Tribolium castaneum: one gene and its partner. The protein of the gene in region 1 interacts with the protein of each later gene in a pairwise test. Links are inferred from orthologs where the notes say so. Each region holds a gene or a part of one and is shown on either strand. Other genes may lie near its edges.

Region 1 (3,988 bases):
CATTCGGAACTGACCCCTTCCACAGCCCCCTCACCCCCGCAGTCTCGACCGTTTTCCTAAACGCGTCGAAAAGGCCGTTAACTCGCGGCGGCAGCCCCATGATTTTGCGCTTGCCTTCCATTTGTAATTGCACTTTGAGTAAATCGGCCGGACTGGCAATGTACTGTGCAAAGGCCCCCGCTGTGACCCCACAAAGGGCCGACTTCCACACGGGGAAGTACTGCTCGGTGCCCGAGTCGAAAAACTTGTCTTTGAGGTGCTTGTACGTGACAATTCGAGTACCTGAGTAGAACAAGTGGCGGTACAAGGCGGCGTACGCCCCCTGCCACAGCTTCAGAAACCCCTCCTCGGAGACGATCCCCACGGCGGTGCGGAACAGCCCCCGGTACGGGGCCTTGACCATGCTCGCATCTTTGGTGTTGGCGACCTCACCCTGTATTTGCAGCCGCGTTTTGGCCAAATCTAACGGGTAAGTCACTGCAACGAGAGTCAAGGTCAGGTGATGAATAAATCAAAACTAACTTAAACGAAAGACTCGACAAACGCCAAGTTATTCTATAAATAAAGCGCGATTTTTTGAGGGAATACAAGGTGGCAAAAGTTACTTAATTTCTATTTTTACCTAACTCCGCATTCCACGCTCCGACCACCGATACCATGTACATGCACCATAGCGAGTCCACGTACTTGTGCTCCTTCGGGGGCGGAATCTGCGGCATCTTCACCAAAAAGCCTGAAATCACGGTCTTATAAGATTCCCATAGGGCAAAGTTCGAAACTCCCGCGGGGGCAATGTGCACGTAGCGTGACCGATAAAGACACAATAAGCCTTCATTCCTACTTTCTGCGTGATAAAGCGGAATGGAAATTGCAAAATTAATGAAAAAAAGGGCAATTAAAATTCAAAAAATTGTTGTGACGACTTGACAACACCGCACTATTAACCTGCAACCAACTTGTTGTCACTTTGACACATTGACACCACTTGGGGCCAGTTAATGGCAAACTCACCATTTATTTGTTTGGTGGAACTTCCGTAACTTCATTAGTTAAGTAAATAACGAACAGTTATAGATAACAATTGTCACGGCAGTGCTTTTGGGACTACATTGTTGGTGACGTGTGAGTGGTGTTGGTAGAATTTGATTCAAGTGACAGACGATTACTGCGCCCCTGGCGAAAAGTAGTTCCGGATTATTTCACCTTTTTTTTGTTATTTCCGTACCCAGTATCGAATTCTTTCCGGATTATCGTCTTTTGCGCCTGATTACTTGTCCAAAGCCGGCGAGTTTGTTGTGTTTGCGCGATAAGAGCGATTGGCTGTGATAAGATAGTGTTCCTCCGCCATGATTGTCCTCCAGTGTTGAATTTCATCAGTGACAGAAGGGAGGGTTCTCGTAAGGTTCGCGTAAAAACCCAACAAAAACACCAAATAAAGTGATTATCTTCCAAAGAAATGTGTTATTCGTTAGATTACAAAGCGGATGCTTAGTGCTAGTTGGAGGAAGCCAATGTATTGACATTGCCGGTGCTATTTGAACTTTTTTGGAGTCAGCTCTTGTGCTTTTATTTGTGATAAGACGAACTTGAACAATGGAAGCAATAGCGAAGCACGAATTCAACGCAACGGCCGACGATGAGCTTAGTTTTCGTAGATCTCAAGTCCTAAAGGTACTTCCCCGAAATTGTGGCTTGCCCTAAAACCATTTTTCCAGATACTGAATATGGAAGACGACATGAACTGGTACAGAGCTGAACTGGACGGCAGAGAAGGCCTAATTCCTAGTAATTACATAGAAATGAAGAACCACAGGTAAATACACCTTGAGGGGTCACATGATAATAACACAATTCTCTTGAACAGTTGGTACTACGGTAGAATCACAAGAGCTGACGCCGAAAAACTGCTCTCAAACAAGCACGAAGGGGCCTTTCTCATACGTATTAGTGAATCCAGTCCAGGAGATTTTTCTCTATCTGTCAAGTAAACACACTTTTTAGCCCCCAAAATTATAAATAACCCCCATTATCGCAGGTGTTCTGACGGCGTGCAACATTTCAAGGTGCTAAGGGACGCCCAAGGCAAATTTTTTCTCTGGGTAGTCAAATTCAATTCGTTAAATGAATTAGTAGAATACCATCGCACGTCGTCCGTGTCCCGGTCACAAGACGTCAAGCTGAAGGACATGGTGGCCGAAGAGGTGCGGAATCGTATTGTCTTTATTTTCAGAACAATTGTCAGTGTAGTCATGTTGGTATAAGCATTATCACCCTGTAGTTATTTGATATATAGTCTGGTCTACGGAGGACTATAAGTTAGGATACTAAATCGCAGGATTTCCTGAACCCAAAAAAATTGTACGGTAGACTTAAATGAGGGCGCTTCAAGCACCAAATCGTTTTAAATTAATTTAAATTCAACCAATTCACTAATAACTCGGAAAAAATGCAGTAATGTTGAGTTTGCATTCTCATCAGACTGAGGAAAACTGTCGACTAAAGTTTTTATGAAAAACATGAGGAAAAAATTATTTAAAATTTGCGATGATTTTTTGTGGGAGTTTTGACCTTGACAATTGTTTTGGAGAATAAATGGATGTAGAAATGGGCAAATTGTGACGTTCCTGTTGCAGTGCTTGGTGCAGGCCTTATACGACTTTACTCCACAAGAAGCCGGCGAGCTAGAGTTCCGAAGGGGCGACGTAATAACGGTGACGGACCGCTCAGATCAGCACTGGTGGCATGGCGAGATCGGACACCGTCGCGGCCTATTCCCCGCTACTTACGTGACGCCTTACCACACATAATATTTTTCCCTTAATTATTATTTTCTCAAAGGCATTATTTCACCACCACTCTTGGAAAAACCTGCGCAACTGTGGGCGATTTTTTACTTGGTTTTTAATTTATGTGATTTTGTAATAATCGTTTAGATGATTTTATTAATTGCTCATTGTTTTTGGAAAATCTCTTAATGTAGTTTTAAGATCAAATATTTTTATATTGGATCAATTGTACTGAAAAACGTGAAATTTATTAATCTTCTTCAGTTCAGTAGGTTATGGAATATAATATAATGTTTAATTTTTTAGGTAGAGTGTATGACAGGTTGCTTACATTTTACTCTGTTCAGATATGCAACGAAATTAACCAGTTAGGAGCAAGTGGAGCTAGTTTCCGTCGAAGATTTAATATTTAAATCCAATTTCCTATAAGATAGTGCACACAATATCGTATTTTTAGCAAATCAGATGCCATTTTTTGTATTTCTTTAAGTTATGGAGATTCGTGAGTTTATTTCAAAAGATTTTTATTTGTATATAATGCGTTAGAGATTATGCCAGAATTTTATTCAACACTCATTCGTTTGGCATTCTCTTGCTTTGACTTTTAGACTTTGTATGTAAATACTAACATAGTTTTATTATTACAATATTGCATTATTATAATAGGCGAGTATAAGTAAATATATGTTATATAAATAACAGCCGTTTTATTGCTTTCCTCTAACTCCAAATAAATACTCCAATTTTCTGACCTGCCCAACTTTCCTTAGAAATTCCATAAAATTAGAAAAAGTATTATGATATAATTTTACTCAGATGAATTTCACTCGTTGAACATTGATTTAACATTTTGGAAGTCTGAAAATTACTGCTTTTCTCGAAAACAAAAAAGGAAATTCAAATTTCGCACCACAATTTCACTTGGTGAAAAAGTGGCGATAGCCAACATCACGGCACTAAAGTTCCTTTTCCACGAAGGAATCGAATCCCAGTGGCATCTTTCAACGTAAGTCCCTCTAATTTCGAAAAATCTGACCCATCATCAACGATCCCGCCCTTAAAACCCCTTTAAACGTTCAATAAGCCCCATTGCCACACAATCCTGTGCTTATTTTCCCAAATTCGGTCAAAAATCACCGAAACACCGCCATAACCTAACTCTTTCACGCATCTTCCAGGTTACTCGTAACTCAATTCTAACG
Region 2 (3,358 bases), on another chromosome or scaffold:
CCACTTATCATTTAAGTTTTTTGAAAAGATAGGTCTGGGAATTCTGGGAAGGATGCAGAAATCACTTTAAAACTAATATAAAATTTGGTTCCCACTGAAACTAAAATTGATCTGTTTTAGCATTTTTTTCAAAACTTAGACGAAATTCTGATTTCTGAGGATGAAAATTTTAGTTGGGAGACCCTGTATATTTGTGCAACTCTTAATTCGCCATTCAAAAGTGACTAAATTCTTGGAATAACTAAATTATTATATTAGGTAACAAATTATAGATAACTTATTTAAGATTTAGGATTTTACTTATAGTAAAAAATAAAATCTTAACAAAAAAAAATTTTTTACAAATAAACGGGTGGAAAAATCATCTACAAAACTGATTTGTAATTGTTAATTTTTTGTTATCGCTTATCATGTTTACACTTTACATAAATTCTAATAAACTAATAGTTTGGTTATGTGAACTGTTCAAGCACGTGGACAACAGTATCCTTTCGAAACTGTTACGTCTAACGCACTAGCAAAAAACTGATCTAGAATAACGTGCAATATCGTATTTACTTTTGATATAATTTTTTATCAAGATATTTATCACACAGTTGTGCACAGTTTTTGCAAGTAAAAGGAAATACGGGATTTGTTTATTTTAGGCAAATCCAAGTCATTTGGTTCAAAATGTATCGATAAAACACACGATTTCACATTAATACCTGTGAATTATTGCCAAAAAAAGATGAATAAAAGCAGAAAAACAATCGCAACATAACCTAAAATTCCCATTAAGGCCAATTTCGCAACTTACATGTGACTGAATCATGCCCTTTTCGGTGACAACCCAATGCGTGGCCCCATTACTTTTAAAAACAAATTTGAAAAACACAAAAAAAATCGTCCACAACCTTAATATCACCATTTTTACGAATCTTTTGACATTTATGTCTCTGTTTATGTGTTGTGATAATTCAACGCATGACAGCTCTCGTCTGGTATGCAACTTCTAATACTCCAACGCTGTGTGCGTTGCCAGAGGCCAAGAACTCATTAGAAATTAAATTGAAAATAATTCGTAATTTCATTAGGCTTGGCTCCTTCAATAAAACCAACAAATACAAAATTAATACCAAACTTTATTAGCATAACTAATTATCAAATCTTAGATTTAAAGGCGTGTGGGGCCAATGCGCCAGCTTGCCAGCGTCCTCCAAATGTAGGTCGTAATTCAACTGAACGGCCGTCTCCATCCCCATTATCTTTGATGCCTTTTTCCCATATAACTTATCCATTTCTTCCCGCCTTTTTTTCCCAACTGGCTCAGTAGGTAAAATAGGCCTCGTTTCCGAATCCTTATCTTCAATTTGTCCTTGCTCCTTCACATAATTTGCATAATCCTCCGTTTGCTTCGCATAAACATTACGAAGGTGTCTAATCAACATTTTATTCTCATATTCGAAACTCAAAGCGCGCGATTTCCAATAAGCAATTTGCTCCTGTTTGTGCCACTCAGCGACCTCTGTGGCCGGCGACGAAACCGGCGTCCATTCCATGTCGGTGATATCGACCACTGTAATGTCCGCACACAAATCGTCCGTTTTACGCTTAAATCGCAACTCCCGCAACTCACTGTAGTACCTCAGCAAACTCCTTTTTCTGCGAGAACGCCGGTTTGAGTTACGTTTGAAGGCTCTCCGGTGTTTTCTTCGAACACTGGTCTTGTTCTTCGAAATGTCAAGACCGGAACTAACCATCTTCCATTTTGTTTTGGAACTATGCAACTCACAATGCAACGTGTGTTGCGCAAGGACAAGAAACCAGTATAAGTGGTTGTCTAACATCGAGAAAAATGGCTCAATCGCAAGTTCGCCAAAATTTTCATAAAGACTGCGAAGACGCAATAAATAAGCAAATAAACGTCGAGCTCAATGCCTTTTACACGTATCTGTCGATGGTAAGCGTTTTTGCGTTCAGTGGCAATAAACACACTCATAAATCATGTTGTGTAAGCTTATTGATTTATTAGAATTTTTTTTTTCGTAAACACAATTTATTTTGTACAATTAAAAAATTTAAAAAGCTGGTAAATTTCCATCCTGAAATTTTGTTTACTGTTGCGTAACTTCGCACAGCCATAAAAATAAACACTTCAGGCGGTCAAGGCTGAGCGTTTGAAATTTCGCGCTTTCAGGCTTATCATTTCCAAAGGGATGATGTGGCTCTTCCCGGCCTGTACAAGTACTTTAAGGCTTGTTCGGACGAGGAGCGCGACCATGCCCATAAGCTGATGGAATATCTGAATAAAAGGGGCGGTCGTTTGGTCCTCACGGACATCCCAGCTCCTGAAAAGCAGGACTGGGGGACGGCTCAGGAGGCAATGTGTGCCGCACTAGACCTCGAAAAGCGAGTAAACGAAGTGGGATTTATTTAAAATATTGATTCATGTTGTGGCTGAAATACTGTGTTTCAGAGCTTGTTGGTCCTGCACAGTACGGCTTCAGGTCACATGGATGTGAATCTGTGCGACTTCCTGGAGACACATTACTTGCAAGAACAAGTTGACGCAATTAAGGAAATCGCAGATCATGTGACCAACTTGAAGCGCGTGGGGGAAGGCCTGGGGGTCTACATGTTCGACCGCACTTTGGCCGATGAATAATTTTTAAATATTTATGTTTCACCCCTAAATGTTACGCATTGAGTTGCAATATTTCCAGAGAAAAAATATATGTATACCACCGATAGACTGATAGAATCTCATGTGTTACGCTTACACTGAAATATTTTTTAACTTTAAGTGCTTATGTAACTTATTGTGATTAACGAAGTGATGAATAAAGCGTCAATTACCACCGGTTTTTTTTTTATATATTATCGAAAGGGAGTTGAACATGAGGGTGCCTTTTGGCCACAAATTTGAGAATTTCTTGGTCGAAGAGGTGTCTCCCGACGCCGCCAGTGTCCACCAGTCTCTTGGCCTTGGTCAGAAGGCGCCCCAGCTCACAAATTGACTCGTTTTGCTCTTTCATAAACTTCGAATCCACCAAATCGACCAATTGCTTGTCGTTGTGACACTCGGCAAGTTTCGAGAGCTCCTCCAGTTGCTAGAATTGCATAAATCAAATGAAACCAAACTTTACATCACTCACTTCTTTAACCCTCCGCTCCAGACCAAGGGCGACCCCTATTGCTATAGTTATATCAGTCCAATTACCGTCCTCAGGCACCGTAATCGGGAAAAGTGTGACCTGGCCCCCCCTCATCAACTGATACTGGATAAATTCAAGCGCATGGTCTTGTTCTTCCTGATACATTGCCCTAAAGTAAGACTGGCATCCAGGCAAGGCTATGTCAGTTCGCCCATAGTAAC

What was found.
Region 2: the proteins of drk (region 1) and soma ferritin interact in a two-hybrid assay, tested with the Caenorhabditis elegans proteins (3 studies listed by BioGRID). The link is inferred for Tribolium castaneum from reciprocal best matches to the Caenorhabditis elegans genes sem-5 and ftn-2.

The regions. Positions count from the first base shown.
Region 1 is NC_087399.1:3,452,280-3,456,267, reverse strand, and holds drk (growth factor receptor-bound protein 2), read left to right. Parts: upstream 1-1,530; 5' UTR 1,531-1,593; coding exon 1,594-1,671; intron 1,672-1,715; coding exon 1,716-1,813; intron 1,814-1,864; coding exon 1,865-1,984; intron 1,985-2,035; coding exon 2,036-2,201; intron 2,202-2,633; coding exon 2,634-2,807; 3' UTR 2,808-3,485; downstream 3,486-3,988. Other genes in the region: Ucp4A (mitochondrial uncoupling protein 4), read right to left, coding at 1-477, 623-733, 946-976.
Region 2 is NC_087402.1:7,243,189-7,246,546, reverse strand, and holds soma ferritin, read left to right. Parts: upstream 1-1,807; 5' UTR 1,808-1,837; coding exon 1,838-1,942; intron 1,943-2,179; coding exon 2,180-2,404; intron 2,405-2,458; coding exon 2,459-2,647; 3' UTR 2,648-2,840; downstream 2,841-3,358. Other genes in the region: tetratricopeptide repeat protein 17, read right to left, coding at 800-910; gem-associated protein 8, read right to left, coding at 1,137-1,558, 1,619-1,742; soma ferritin, read right to left, coding at 2,853-3,092, 3,138-3,358.